3 linked regions of the Saccharomyces cerevisiae S288C genome follow. The protein of the gene in region 1 interacts with the protein of each later gene in a pairwise test. Each region holds a gene or a part of one and is shown in the gene's direction. Other genes may lie near its edges.

Evidence for each region. Proteins that work in one complex are often made in the same cells at the same time.
Region 2: the proteins of FLC2 (region 1) and EMP70 interact in a protein complementation assay, tested with the Saccharomyces cerevisiae proteins (one large-scale study listed by BioGRID).
Region 3: the proteins of FLC2 (region 1) and WSC3 interact in a protein complementation assay, tested with the Saccharomyces cerevisiae proteins (one large-scale study listed by BioGRID).

Annotation. Positions count from the first base shown.
Region 1 is NC_001133.9:43,642-49,668, forward strand, and holds FLC2 (flavin adenine dinucleotide transporter FLC2), read left to right. Parts: upstream 1-2,257; coding exon 2,258-4,609; downstream 4,610-6,027. Other genes in the region: ACS1 (acetate--CoA ligase 1), read right to left, coding at 1-1,381; oleate-activated transcription factor OAF1, read left to right, coding at 4,923-6,027. UniProt on the Saccharomyces cerevisiae protein: May be responsible for the transport of FAD into the endoplasmic reticulum lumen, where it is required for oxidative protein folding.
Region 2 is NC_001144.5:292,811-297,828, reverse strand, and holds EMP70 (Emp70p), read left to right. Parts: upstream 1-1,734; coding exon 1,735-3,738; downstream 3,739-5,018. Other genes in the region: RAX2 (Rax2p), read left to right, coding at 1-1,240; SRL2 (Srl2p), read left to right, coding at 4,257-5,018. UniProt on the Saccharomyces cerevisiae protein: With TMN2 and TMN3, plays a critical role in the late stages of a nutrient-controlled pathway notably regulating FLO11 gene expression. Acts downstream of RAS2 and TOR. Essential for cell adhesion and filamentous growth.
Region 3 is NC_001147.6:112,858-117,586, reverse strand, and holds WSC3 (Wsc3p), read left to right. Parts: upstream 1-1,778; coding exon 1,779-3,449; downstream 3,450-4,729. Other genes in the region: NDJ1 (Ndj1p), read left to right, coding at 133-1,191; YOL107W (uncharacterized protein), read right to left, coding at 4,457-4,729.

The DNA of each region.
Region 1 (6,027 bases):
TTTTACCTATTTTTTCAGAGTACCACTCCCAAACTTCAGCAGCAATTGGCTCACCGACCGAACCCAAGCAACGCAAAGATTTTAAGGAATGATTTTCGATGTAGGAATCACCAGCTCTTTTCAACAAACGCAAAGCAGTTGGCGCAACATAAAATTGGGTGACTTTGTGTTCATCAATAATATCCCAATAACGGGAGTAATTTGGGTACGCAGGAGTCCCTTCAAAGACCAAAGTGGCACAACCATATAGTAAGGGACCATAAACCACATAAGTGTGGCCTGTAATCCAGCCAATGTCTCCAGCTGTGAAGAAAACGTCTTCTTGGTGAGTGTCAAAAGTGTAGCGCATGGTCAACAAAGCTCCCAGCAAGTAACCTGCGGTAGAATGTTGAACACCCTTGGGGGCACCAGTAGAACCAGACGTATACAACAAGAATAATGGATCCTCAGAATCAACGGGTGTGCATGGATAGTAGGTCTTGTATTTCTTCTTTTCTGTTGCCCAATCCAAATCTCTGGGGGCATGGAAAGCAACAGATGGATTGTTGGTCTTTCTATAAACCAAGACGTGTCTCACGCCTGGGGTCTCTCTTAGCGCGTCATCAACAATTCTTTTAGTCTCAATGACTTTACCACCTCTGTTGGATTCATCTGTAGTGATGACAACTTTAGAGTCCCCATCGTTGATACGATCTCTCAAGGAGTTGGAAGAAAACCCGGCAAAGACTACGGAGTGAATGGCACCGATACGGGAAATGGCCAACAAGGTTATGATTGCTTCTGGGACCATAGGCATGTACACGGCAACAGTATCGCCCTTGCGAACGCCCATAGAGTAAGTCAGCACTTGTGCCACTTGACAAACTTCTTCAAGTAGTTCCTTGTAGGTAATGGAATAGCCTTGGCCAGGCTCGTCACCTTCGAAAATAATGGCTTTCTTGTTAGGAGTCTTCAAGGCATGTCTGTCAACACAGTTGTAACAGGCGTTTAATTGGCCGTTGAGGAACCATGCATTGTTCTGGAAGGAGGGCCTGCCCGTTTTAGGGTCTGGGATGAACACCTTATCGAATGGCTTAGACCAGTTTAAAAATTGGGTAGCTTTAGAACCGAAGAACTTAGCAGGGTCTTCAATAGACTCCTTGTGCAAGCGCTGATAGTCCTGCAACCCGTCCAAGTGTGGAGAATAGTGGGTAGCAATTGCGGGCTGCAGTCTATCTGAGATGGGCCGTTGTGGCACGATCTTGACCGAAGTCAAATGTTCATACTCATGTTCCTTCTTCTGCTGCGCAGTGGCGGCAGACTGGGACATTTTTGCTTTCAACTTGTCAATTTCACTTGACTGTTCTTCTAGTTTTGATGATTGTACGGCAGAGGGCGACATAGCACAGTGGGCAATGTCTTTCTAGTAGTTTTGATATGTTTGGTTTTGCTTATAGATAGAAAATATAAGAACAAGATATAACGTACTACCAGATAACCTAAGGGAGAAATATGCTTAGAATAGCCGCCCAGTTTATATACAAAATGAAGGGAGAACTATTTGCCACCGAGGAACTGTACCCCAACTGCAATACCCATTGAATAATGGCATCGGAGGCTCGGCGGCAATTCGTACCCCAACCTTTTTTTTTTACTTTTCTTTGGATCTTAGAGATAACAGAAAAAAAGGATGACCCCAATCATTTGCCACGGCATGTCAACAGGTGAGTGCCTTTTGAGGGGGGGGGGTCATCTCGACATCCGGCGAAATGGAGCAGTCACACGTGAACATTTTTAGGGGATGGAGAGTGCTACGCCGTTCGTCCGAGATGATTATCATATTTACACAGCCGTACATACACGTGCCATTTATCTTGATATCATTCTGGACGTATGTGCACATGTGATTTGCTTTTGTTTTTTTAAGAATGTCGGGTAATAAACAGATTGTTTTTCTGGGAGGATAATCTTTTCTTTTTTCCTGTTGGTATTCTAAAATTAACCTTGCTGTTTCTTTTTTTTTTTTTTTTCGCGCGACTACTCAGCCATCTTGCATTTTTAAAGAAAAAGATAATCATTAATGCCTTCACGGGAATACGTATAGAACATTATTAAAAGTATATGAATGGCATATATATATAGAACACCACCCTTGGAAAACATTTATACCCCTTAAACTAAAACAATTTGCTGCGCTATACCGTGTTTCAGTGTATTATAATACATTCATTTCTGTTTCATTACGATTATATTGACGTGATAAAAAGATTATATAGCCATGATCTTCCTAAACACCTTCGCAAGGTGCCTTTTAACGTGTTTCGTACTGTGCAGCGGTACAGCACGTTCCTCTGACACAAACGACACTACTCCGGCGTCTGCAAAGCATTTGCAGACCACTTCTTTATTGACGTGTATGGACAATTCGCAATTAACGGCATCATTCTTTGATGTGAAATTTTACCCCGATAATAATACTGTTATCTTTGATATTGACGCTACGACGACGCTTAATGGGAACGTCACTGTGAAGGCTGAGCTGCTTACTTACGGACTGAAAGTCCTGGATAAGACTTTTGATTTATGTTCCTTGGGCCAAGTATCGCTTTGCCCCCTAAGTGCTGGGCGTATTGATGTCATGTCCACACAGGTGATCGAATCATCCATTACCAAGCAATTTCCCGGCATTGCTTACACCATTCCAGATTTGGACGCACAAGTACGTGTGGTGGCATACGCTCAGAATGACACGGAATTCGAAACTCCGCTGGCTTGTGTCCAGGCTATCTTGAGTAACGGGAAGACAGTGCAAACAAAGTATGCGGCCTGGCCCATTGCCGCTATCTCAGGTGTCGGTGTACTTACCTCAGGGTTTGTGTCTGTGATCGGTTACTCAGCCACTGCTGCTCACATTGCGTCCAACTCCATCTCATTGTTCATATACTTCCAAAATCTAGCTATCACTGCAATGATGGGTGTCTCAAGGGTTCCACCCATTGCTGCCGCGTGGACGCAGAATTTCCAATGGTCCATGGGTATCATCAATACAAACTTCATGCAAAAGATTTTTGATTGGTACGTACAGGCCACTAATGGTGTCTCAAATGTTGTGGTAGCTAACAAGGACGTCTTGTCCATTAGTGTGCAAAAACGTGCTATCTCTATGGCATCGTCTAGTGATTACAATTTTGACACCATTTTAGACGATTCGAATCTGTACACCACTTCTGAGAAGGATCCAAGCAATTACTCAGCCAAGATTCTCGTGTTAAGAGGTATAGAAAGAGTTGCTTATTTGGCTAATATTGAGCTATCTAATTTCTTTTTGACCGGTATTGTGTTTTTTCTATTCTTCCTATTTGTAGTTGTCGTCTCTTTGATTTTCTTTAAGGCGCTATTGGAAGTTCTTACAAGAGCAAGAATATTGAAAGAGACTTCCAATTTCTTCCAATATAGGAAGAACTGGGGGAGTATTATCAAAGGCACCCTTTTCAGATTATCTATCATCGCCTTCCCTCAAGTTTCTCTTCTGGCGATTTGGGAATTTACTCAGGTCAACTCTCCAGCGATTGTTGTTGATGCGGTAGTAATATTACTGATCATCACGGGACTTCTGGTTTATGGAACTATAAGGGTTTTCATCAAGGGAAGAGAGTCTCTCAGATTATACAAGAATCCTGCGTACCTACTTTACAGTGATACCTACTTCTTGAACAAGTTTGGGTTCTTATACGTTCAATTCAAAGCAGATAAGTTTTGGTGGCTTTTACCCTTATTAAGTTATGCGTTCTTAAGATCCCTGTTTGTTGCCGTTTTACAAAACCAAGGTAAGGCTCAAGCAATGATCATCTTTGTCATTGAACTAGCTTACTTCGTTTGTCTCTGTTGGATAAGACCATATTTGGACAAGAGAACTAATGTTTTCAATATTGCTATTCATTTGGTGAATTTGATCAATGCATTTTTCTTTTTGTTTTTCAGTAATTTGTTCAAGCAACCAGCAGTGGTTTCGTCAGTGATGGCGGTTATTCTGTTCGTTTTGAACGCGGTGTTTGCTCTATTCCTATTATTGTTCACTATTGTCACCTGTACACTGGCATTACTACACAGAAACCCAGATGTCCGTTACCAACCAATGAAAGATGACCGTGTGTCATTCATTCCTAAGATTCAAAATGATTTCGATGGCAAAAACAAAAATGATTCTGAACTGTTTGAATTGAGAAAAGCTGTTATGGACACCAATGAAAATGAGGAAGAAAAAATGTTCCGTGACGACACTTTCGGCAAGAACCTGAATGCAAACACAAATACAGCAAGACTCTTTGATGATGAGACTAGTTCATCCTCTTTTAAGCAAAATTCCTCTCCCTTCGATGCCTCGGAAGTAACGGAGCAACCTGTGCAACCAACCTCCGCTGTCATGGGTACGGGTGGCAGCTTCTTGTCTCCACAGTACCAACGTGCGTCATCTGCTTCTCGTACTAATCTAGCGCCGAATAATACAAGCACCTCCAGTTTAATGAAGCCTGAATCAAGTCTCTACCTGGGGAATTCCAATAAATCATATTCGCATTTTAACAACAACGGCAGCAACGAAAACGCCCGCAACAACAACCCATATTTGTAATCCAATATATACTCACATGTAACAACTTATTATATAAATATTTAAGGGCAAGGATATCCTACATTATATTTCATAGAAAACCGCTCAAAAAGGTGTATTATCTCCATTACATCCCAACACCACACATATTTCAGCGATAAAAACCTTAAATGTGAAATTCGCTTTGGCTCTGCTTCCTTAAATGTACGCAATTGCCGCTTTTTTCTGACATCTTTTTTGACGTGTAGAGAAGGAAACAGATCCTCCAGAAGGGATTTACTGTTGGCTATTTTGTGTTAGAAGCAGGTTAATAATAGATTAGGTTGCGTAAGTCATGGTCGAAAATAGTACGCAGAAGGCCCCACATGCCGGAAATGATGATAATAGCTCTACCAAGCCATATTCGGAGGCGTTTTTCTTAGGGTTCAATAACCCAACGCCTGGATTAGAAGCTGAGCACTCAAGCACATCGCCTGCCCCCGAGAACTCCGAAACACATAATAGGAAAAGAAATAGAATATTGTTTGTCTGCCAGGCTTGTAGGAAGTCAAAAACAAAGTGTGATAGAGAAAAACCTGAATGTGGTCGATGCGTCAAGCATGGGTTAAAATGTGTTTATGACGTATCAAAACAGCCAGCACCACGAATTCCGAGTAAAGACGCCATTATATCAAGGTTGGAAAAAGATATGTTTTATTGGAAAGATAAAGCTATGAAGCTACTAACAGAGAGAGAGGTGAATGAATCAGGCAAGAGATCAGCAAGTCCGATCAATACAAACAATGCTAGCGGGGACAGTCCTGATACCAAGAAGCAGCATAAAATGGAACCTATATATGAACAAAGTGGTAACGGGGATATAAACAATGGTACCAGAAATGATATTGAAATCAACTTGTATAGAAGTCATCCAACCATGATCATGAGTAAAGTCATGAAAAGAGAAGTTAAGCCGTTATCTGAAAATTATATTATAATTCAGGACTGTTTTCTAAAAATCCTGGTCACTTCAGTGTTCCTTGACACTTCAAAGAACACGATGATACCGGCATTGACGGCAAACGCGAATATTACAAGAGCCCAGCCTAGCGTAGCAAATAACCTTTTGAAATTGAAGGAAATGCTAATCAGACAGTGTCAAACCGAAGATGAAAAAAATCGTGTAAACGAATTCACTGATAGAATACTACAAAATACAAATTCAAATAGAAACTTGAAAATCGGTATGCTATTATCAATGCTTTACAATTCTGTCGGTTACCAATATCTGGAGGATCATTGCCCTCAAGGTGGCGAATATTCGGATTTATTGAGAAATTTGATCAATGAATGTGAAGCTATTTTGCCATCTTACGAAATTATTGAACGCTACAAGAACCACTTTTATGAGTACGTTTATCCAAGTCTACCTTTCATCGAATTAGAAATTTTTGAAGAAT
Region 2 (5,018 bases), on another chromosome or scaffold:
AGAAGGGGGTATTGTACCTTACCTGGGAGCTTATTTAAATGAGTCTGCCACGGCATATGCATATGAGGTGGATTCTCTAAACAAAATTTATTTTTCTAATGAAGTTTATCCTTCCTGGAATTGGTCTAGCGGTATTACTCAAATGCTATACGCTGATAATCAAACTTTACTAGCTGTCAGTGCAGGATCTTCAACCACAGCAGAACTGTCGATTTTTGATTTGAGAAATTTGACCATGATTGCTAATGAAACACTAGGATCAAATGCTAGAATAAATGCTTTAGTTAACTTTGAAAAAAACTGTAGTATGCTTGTCGGCGGAGATTTCCAAATGACTGAGCCGAATTGCACCGGATTATGTCTATACAATTATGAAAGCAAAACTTGGTCTACCTTCCTCAATAACACGATTTTTGGTGAAATCACACAACTTTCCTTCACCAACTCATCAGAATTAATTATCTCAGGCCTTTTTGAAACAAAAGAATACCAATCTATACGTTTAGGATCCTTTAACTTAACCAATTCTACTATGATTCCATTATTGAGTGGTTCTGAAGGGAAACTGAATTCGTTTACTGTCACTGAAGACTCCATAGTGGCATGGAATGATACTTCATTATTTATCTATAGAAACCAAGAATGGAATATTACCTCGTTACCTGGCAATGCTAGCTCTATTAGCTCTGTTTCAGCTATATACACAGATATTGAATCCAACACTTTGAACAAGAGAGGAATCAACAATGTTAATAATGGCAGTATCCTCTTACTTAATGGTAATTTTAATATTTCGCAATACGGATACCTACAAAGTTTGTTGTTTGATTTCCAAAAATGGACCCCATATTTTATTTCAGAAACAACAAATACTTCCAATTACAATCCAATAATTTTTATTAATAGAGACGTTTCAACTGAATTCAACTCTCAGTCACCACTTGCCAATGTGAACATTACTGTGACAAGTCCTCAGTCAACATCATCCCAGCCTCCATCTTCATCGGCAAGCAGTGAATCTAAATCAAAATCGAAGAAGAAGAAAATAGGTCGTGGTTTTGTCGTTTTAATTGGTCTTGCACTAGCATTAGGGACAGTTTCTGTCCTTGGTATTGCAGGCGTCATTCTTGCCTACGTGTTTAAGGATCCAGAGGGTGATTATAAGCCCATTAAACCGCGAATTGATGAGAATGAAATGCTTGATACCGTCCCACCCGAAAAACTTATGAAGTTTGTCTAATCGGGGTTGTATTATATAATATATAACTACTTAAAATAATGAACACTTAATATAATAAACAAAAATAAAATAGGAAAATCCTAAGTTGATCAAAACTTAATAAAAATTACTACTTGCACTGGAATGTTAGTAGTAAATTCAACACGTATTGGAAGTCACTTGGAATGTTACCAATACTGCCTGAGAATGAGTGATTTTAACTTATAATACAAAAGTCCGGGTTACAGCCCTTTAAATTTTTTTCACGGCAATTTTTCTTTACTTGGTGAAGCCATGAAAAATGTCATCGGTTCGAAGAAATAGGCCTAATGATAAACAAAAAGGTAATTCAAGGTTTTTGAACTGCTTTGTTGTTTTTATTTGTATCTTTTTTTGGTACGTTAGTTAAGTTAATTTTTGGCTCCTTGTCCAGCTTTTCCTTCATCTGCTACCGTTATATTTTCAGATATTAATTTAGTAGCAGAGAGCAAGTACCGAAAGGAAAACAAAACAGAATGATTTACAAAATGGCACACGTACAGCTTTTGTTGTTGTATTTTTTTGTGTCAACAGTCAAAGCCTTCTATTTACCAGGTGTAGCGCCTACCACTTACAGGGAAAATGACAACATCCCATTGCTCGTTAATCATTTAACTCCATCAATGAATTATCAACACAAAGATGAGGACGGTAATAACGTTTCTGGCGATAAAGAAAATTTCTTGTACTCATACGACTACTATTACAATAGATTCCATTTTTGTCAGCCTGAAAAAGTCGAAAAGCAACCTGAATCCTTGGGATCCGTTATATTTGGTGATCGAATTTATAATTCACCATTCCAATTGAATATGTTACAAGAAAAAGAGTGTGAATCCCTGTGTAAGACCGTAATTCCGGGAGATGATGCTAAATTCATCAATAAATTGATAAAAAATGGCTTCTTCCAAAACTGGCTTATTGATGGATTACCGGCTGCAAGAGAGGTTTATGATGGCAGAACTAAGACTAGTTTTTATGGTGCTGGCTTCAACCTTGGTTTTGTACAGGTAACTCAAGGAACCGACATTGAGGCTACTCCAAAAGGGGCAGAAACCACCGATAAGGATGTGGAATTGGAAACACGTAATGATCGTAACATGGTGAAAACTTACGAATTGCCTTACTTTGCCAACCATTTCGATATTATGATTGAATATCACGATCGTGGTGAAGGTAACTATCGTGTAGTTGGTGTTATCGTCGAACCGGTTTCCATAAAACGTTCCAGTCCAGGTACATGTGAAACGACTGGCAGCCCATTGATGCTAGACGAAGGAAATGATAATGAAGTTTATTTTACTTATTCCGTTAAATTCAATGAATCAGCGACTTCTTGGGCCACCAGGTGGGACAAATATTTACACGTATATGATCCTTCTATTCAATGGTTTTCTTTGATAAATTTCTCCTTAGTTGTTGTCTTATTGTCATCTGTTGTTATCCATTCGCTATTGCGCGCACTGAAAAGTGATTTCGCACGTTACAACGAGTTAAATTTGGACGATGATTTTCAAGAAGATTCGGGTTGGAAATTGAATCATGGTGATGTTTTTCGTTCGCCAAGTCAATCGCTAACCCTTTCAATTTTGGTTGGTTCAGGAGTTCAATTATTTTTGATGGTAACTTGCAGTATCTTCTTCGCTGCATTGGGTTTCCTATCACCTAGTTCTAGAGGTTCCTTAGCCACTGTTATGTTTATCTTATATGCATTATTCGGGTTTGTCGGCTCTTATACATCTATGGGCATCTACAAATTTTTCAATGGGCCATACTGGAAGGCAAACTTGATATTGACTCCACTTCTAGTTCCTGGTGCTATTCTGCTAATAATTATTGCGTTGAACTTTTTCTTAATGTTTGTTCATTCTTCTGGTGTCATACCAGCAAGTACTCTGTTTTTTATGGTTTTTCTATGGTTTTTGTTCTCAATCCCATTATCATTTGCTGGTTCATTGATTGCCAGGAAAAGATGTCACTGGGATGAACATCCAACCAAGACAAACCAAATCGCAAGACAAATACCCTTCCAGCCTTGGTATTTAAAGACTATACCAGCTACTTTGATTGCTGGTATCTTTCCATTTGGCTCCATCGCCGTTGAGTTGTATTTCATATACACAAGTTTATGGTTTAATAAGATTTTTTACATGTTTGGTTTCCTCTTTTTCTCTTTCCTCCTATTAACTTTGACAAGTTCACTCGTCACTATTTTGATCACTTATCATTCCTTATGCCTGGAGAACTGGAAGTGGCAATGGAGAGGATTCATAATTGGAGGCGCCGGTTGTGCTTTGTATGTGTTTATTCATTCTATTTTATTCACCAAATTTAAGTTGGGTGGATTCACGACTATTGTCTTATACGTGGGATACTCCTCAGTCATTTCATTACTCTGCTGTTTGGTAACGGGGTCAATTGGCTTTATCAGCAGTATGCTCTTTGTTAGAAAAATCTACTCATCCATTAAAGTTGACTAGGCCAACGAAAAAGAGGTCCTATATGTTGGGTTAGGGCGTTTTTTATTTATTTCTCTACTGTTTATCTTTTTTAACAAAGAAAATGCTAGGCCCTATGGCCTTTGGACATGATACATAGTTTTTAGTAATATTTTTTTCAAAAAGATTAAAAGTACTATAGGATTCGAAGTTGTAATTTTTGGTGTATATACATTTATTTATTTGAATCTTTTTTCCATGATTCTGGAATGACATTCTGCGTTACAGTTTGGGAATAAATGCTCCTTTAAGGAAATAATATACAGCTTTAGTGTACAGGGTTAATCTATAGCCACATTAAAAGGACTTGATTATGACTTAAAATAAGTGACACTGACGCTTTAATATTCAGTCCGGGTGATGCTGTCATCTAGGACAAAACAATGGGAGTGGATAAGTAAGCAAGTAATAAGATAAAACAGTATTAGAAATTGGTAGTAGGCTGAAGCTTGTTGAAGCTGGTGGACAGAAAAACGCTTATATTGTGAAGATCCTTTTGGATGTCCAACTTTAAGAATTTTACTTTAAATTCCTTTGAAGATTATTACGGAAAGCCCTCTGAAACGCCAAAAATGGAGGAAGAGAAATTGGAAGTAACAAATGTGAATGCGTCCTCTTCAAAAAAAGTACATAAAAGCAAAAAGAGCACTTCAAAATATGACCAAAAGAATGTATTTAGAAACTCAATGACAGGAATTGCACAAATACTGCCAACAAAACCTGTGAAAATTATAGAGCAGAATATTGATTTTGCCAATCCGAAGAGCTTCGACCTCCTGCAATCTACACATACTATTTGCTTTAATAAAAGAATTAACACTACTAATACCAAGTTGAATGTGGAAACTCATACTTCTAGTGATATTGACAACGACATATTGCACGTTGGAGCCCCCACAGACTTGGGGGGAAACAGTAATGACGAAGCGGAAACAAGGCAACTAAGGAAGTTTCGATGGTCCAATAATAAAGAAAAAAGTCTTTGTGAAAAGTTAACAGTCATATATTGGGCCCTCTTGCTCCACACAACAAAGAGAGCAAGTAAAAGGAGACCTATATTATGTCATCAAATGATAGCTGAGTTTTTTAACAGAGTTTATAAGGAGAAATCAAGAGTACCTATAACTTCAAGATATATTAGAGATAACCTCGTCGCTTGGGTCACTCAAGGAAAGGAATTGCATGAAAAAGGTTGGGTAGGGGATGCCAAAACTGGCGATTTGCAAGAACAGTTCAATATAGCCACTGTCAAATTATATGAA
Region 3 (4,729 bases), on another chromosome or scaffold:
ATATATCCGTTTCGTACTCAGTGACGTACCGGGCGTAGAAGTTGGGCGGCTATTTTGACAGATATATCAAAAATATTGTCATGAACTATACCATATACAACTTAGGATAAAAATACAGGTAGAAAAACTATAATGAGTAAGGATAATAGGTTAGCAAGTATTTTGCTGCAGCCTGTAGCATCATCCTCTGGAAATTGTACTGAATTCCATGACTCAAAGTTGCATACTCTGCAAGAGGAACTTAATTTCTTGCCACTAGAAGGAGTTGCGTCGAATGTTTGCCCGCCGATGTTTAGAGGTCATAAGAACTACGTGTTTGTGTTATATTGTTTGAATCAAGTCGATCTCGTTACGAATTTGCAGGATTCTACAAAACGTTACTACCCACTGCAAATATTTAAAGATTGTCAATTGAGTTCTTTGGTTCAGAAGGATTTTTCACACTATTTCCAACTCAGCAGGCAAAAGGAAGGGGAAGATCGGAACGATAGTGATACCACCTTGGTTAATGTCGTCAATTCTGGAGTATCCCGCCATAGAAGTCAATTACTAAAGATGTGTATTATACCTAGAATTTGTTCCTTTGACAAATCCAACTCCAAAACCTACAAGCTAATTCAGGAATATGTTAATCGCTTTGAAACCGTTTTAACAAAATTTGGCCCAGAAAAAGATTTCACCAAAGTTTACGCTAACTGGTCAAAACTCATTGAGTCGTTTAATGAGCTTATTTTACATGACCTGTTGGTGAAATGGCAACAATGGTCTGAATTAACTCAGCCAAATGCCACGGTCCATCAGAACATTCCGAATGTTCTCAGGGAACTCGTAATAAAATTAACACAAAGGTACTTTACATTCCAACCTTCATACAGTTGTTCGATTGATGAATTCACAACAATTTTACTTAATAAAAATGCTTTGAGTCTCTTGGACGTTTTCAGAAAACCCAGAAAATATAAACTGAATTTTGGTTTATGGCTAGATTGTCAAAACGGTATTTTAATTTTTACAAATGGTATTGTGCAGATGGCAGATGAAATTACAAGTGAGAGGGTGAAATCCTTTGTCAGGCCAGCACATCTCTTGGTATTGGAAGACCATTCAAATGATGAAGCAGTCAAGAAACTAATGTTTTTCACTTTTTCAGCGATATTACAATGCTTTACAGATGAGATTCTGAATTGTTAAAACGGGCTATCCATATTACATCTGAACCAAAAAAAACTTTTCTTTGCTGTTTACTTTAAATCTTGCTTAATGTGAAGATTTTTTTCTGTTTGCCCTTTCACTAGGAGATTTTTAACCTAATTTTACCAGCCGATTCGTTAGTAGGAATGCATTTTTCCAAAATCAGGAATTTTTACGTCATCCCGCTCTCCTTTGAGATCCGGGCAAACTTCTTATTTTAGCCACTCGAGAATTTTTTTCTTTATTATAAAAAAAGTAATTATGCCTCCGCACTAATCTTAAAAAGCTTTTTAACGTAAGTGGTATACTGCAGACCAGGACCATTGTTTTACTTCATTGCCTGAAATAGTATCTAGGTTAGATATTGATTTTTCTTACACTTCAATAAAACAATTGCATTCGTTATACATTTTTTTCTTTCCAAACATTTGCTATAAAAAATTTTTTGATCCCTCGCCATACTAATTTTCTATTGTTCCTCGAAATTAGTGATAATCCTCGAGAAATATTTGGTGAGCTATTTTCTTTGTGCATTATATGAAATTCATGTCCGTATAGTTTGTTTTTTTAGCAGAAGACAATATAAAATGGAAAGAGTATGGTTTGCAAAATTAACAAATAAAGGAACTATTAAAATCGGGTATATCTCATTTATACTTCTAAGTTTGCTATGTCAATCTCTGATTGGGCTGGTTAATGCTGATTTTAATTATGAAGGCTGTTACAGTGCCGCGGATATCCAGTCTGCTGGACTGTCTCTGAAAAACTCATACATATATCAATCAGTGTCATACTGTCAAAACCAGTGCCCTGAGTCAGCAGTAGTAGCATTATTTAACGGGTCAGATTGTTACTGCGGTAATTCGGTAAGTTTTCTGACTTCTTTGACGAAATCAACAGATTCAAACTGTGGAACTAAATGCTCTGGCTGGCCTTACCAAATGTGTGGAGGGTCATCGTACATGAACGTGTATGTAAATGCTGAAACTTTTGTTTCATCGGTTGAATCTTCCTCTTCCAAAGAAGGGTCTAGCACTTCCTATATGCCCTCAACAACTTCTTCATTGTCCTCCGCCCAAATTTCTTCAACTACTAGGAGAACGTCAACAGATATGAAAAGTTCTGAAATGATAGCCACGACAGTTTCTACCACTTCAACAACCTCTTCCTCGACTTCCTCTACTACCTCTTCTACCACCTCTTCTACCACCTCTTCTACCACCTCTTCTACTACCTCTTCCTCGACTTCCTCTACTACCTCTTCTACCACCTCTTCTACCACCTCTTCTACCACCTCTTCTACCACCTCTTCTACTACCTCTTCTACTACCTCCTCTACTACCTCCTCTACTACCTCTATCTTTTCTGTTACGTCTAGCTCCTCATCCATTACATTGTCCTCATCTGAGCATACCACAGTCGATAGCCGTACTTCTTCACCCTCTTCCACCTTGGTGCCAGTGTCCTCGAGTAGCAGCACACTATCAACTCCAAAAGTGACCTCAATGACCCCTAGTACGTCATCAACGATACCAATAGTTACCTCAGTGGAACTAGTGACTAGTGTGGTTACAAAAGCGATCGTGAGTACTTCTGATCAACATCAGGAAACAATATTTGTTACGAGGACATCCGTGGTTGAACGATCTTCTGAGGTAGCTACTGCTACTGCTGCCGCCTCAAATAATAGATCTAATTCGACTTCGAAGCAGCGTCTGAGTGGTGGAGCCATTGCCGGTATTGTTATTGGTGTTGTGTTTGGCGTAATTTTTATTATTTTGATTCTATTGTTCCTGATATGGAGGAGACGGAAATCGCACGACCAATTAGACTTGGAGGAAACGAAACATTATCAGCCCTATTCGTTCGGTGATGAGGATGCAAATCCAATAGGACCGCCTCCCTCCTCTGGTACGACAAATTGGATGAGACATTCAAGGGGTAATACAGCGGGTTCTATCGGTACAAGTAATATGTATGGTTTTTCTATGAGTAATGGTGCAAATTATAGTAGTCCTAGTTCAAACACCAGTGGAAGCATCATAAACAACTTGGCTGGCTTACAAGATGCTACGGTTCAGAAACAGAACCTTCCATCGACAGTTTTTGAAGAGGCAAATACTTTGAATAGTGCAAATGAAAGGTTCAGTGCCAATTCTTTACCCGACATGATGATGAGCGGACCATTGCAAGTGGTAAACCCTGATAATCCTGATAATCCTGAATTATCTAGTACCGTATCTCATAATCGAGCCTGAAAAACTCGCATAAACTCTCAACATTAATGGTAATCAACTGGTTCTGCTGGACGGAGCCATTCTAAATCATTAACTTTATAATATCATGTTTTATACCCTAATATTTAAACAATTTACTGCTTTTGGCACTTCAACTGTTAGAAAAAGAACAATAATATTTAGTATTTAGTTTCATTTTTAAATTTTCTGATTCACTTCATTTGCAGCTTCTAATGATGTTTGTGGTACAAAAATATAAACAATTTTAAAATATTAAAAAAAAATGCTTCCAATCGGATTTGAACCGATGATCTCCACATTACTAGTGTGGCGCCTTACCAACTTGGCCATAGAAGCTAAATCTCTGAAAGCTGCGCTCTTCAAAGGCGAACCAAGCAAGATAAATTAATATTATTATGTAAAACTATCGTTTTCCTTTTGTTGATTCCTATATCCCGGAGAAGAACTACTAATTATCAAATTATTCACCAAATGATCAAATTTAGCAGCGTAGTGAGTGCCACTATGTAGATGTTGGAATAAAAACCAACTATCGTCTATCAACTAGTAGTCATACTATCAATATATTATCATATACGGTGTTAGATAGTGACATAAGTTATTATAGAAGCTGTCACCGAAGTTAGAGGAAGCTGAAATGCAAGGATCGATAATGTAATAGGATAATGAAACATATGAAATGGAATGAGGAATAATCGTAATATTGGTACATAGAAATATAGATTCCATTATGGGGATTCCTATATCATCGAGGAGAACTTCTAGTACATTCTGTATACCTAATATTATAGCCTTTATCAACGATGGAATCCCAACAATTATTTCAAAATTCACCCATTTCTCAGTAGAATTATTAATATTGGGGAATATATGGGTTTCTATGGTTCGATAGTACTGGCGCACATTCAGCATACAAATCCTACTACCTTGGTAAAGACCGAAATGCCAACAGCCGTCATTAAATCACGATATAATAGAGCATATTTCAAGTTATATAGATCCATATATCAAGGGTTTACCATACGCTCTTCCAAAACTTGTAAAGCTAACTGTCTTCGTCTTTCTTCTACAGTCATAATTTTTTTGGCGCCTCTACTTTCTGCGATGGTGTTCCCAATATCTATATCAATATCATGAAAAGGTTTAATGACTTTAAATTTTACAACAACTACATTATAAATGAAATTGAAAATCGGCCTCAAAATCGGCTTAATTAGATCAGGAAAGAAGTAAATCAATTGAAAAGTATCAGATGCATCGCCGACCAATATTTCCTGACC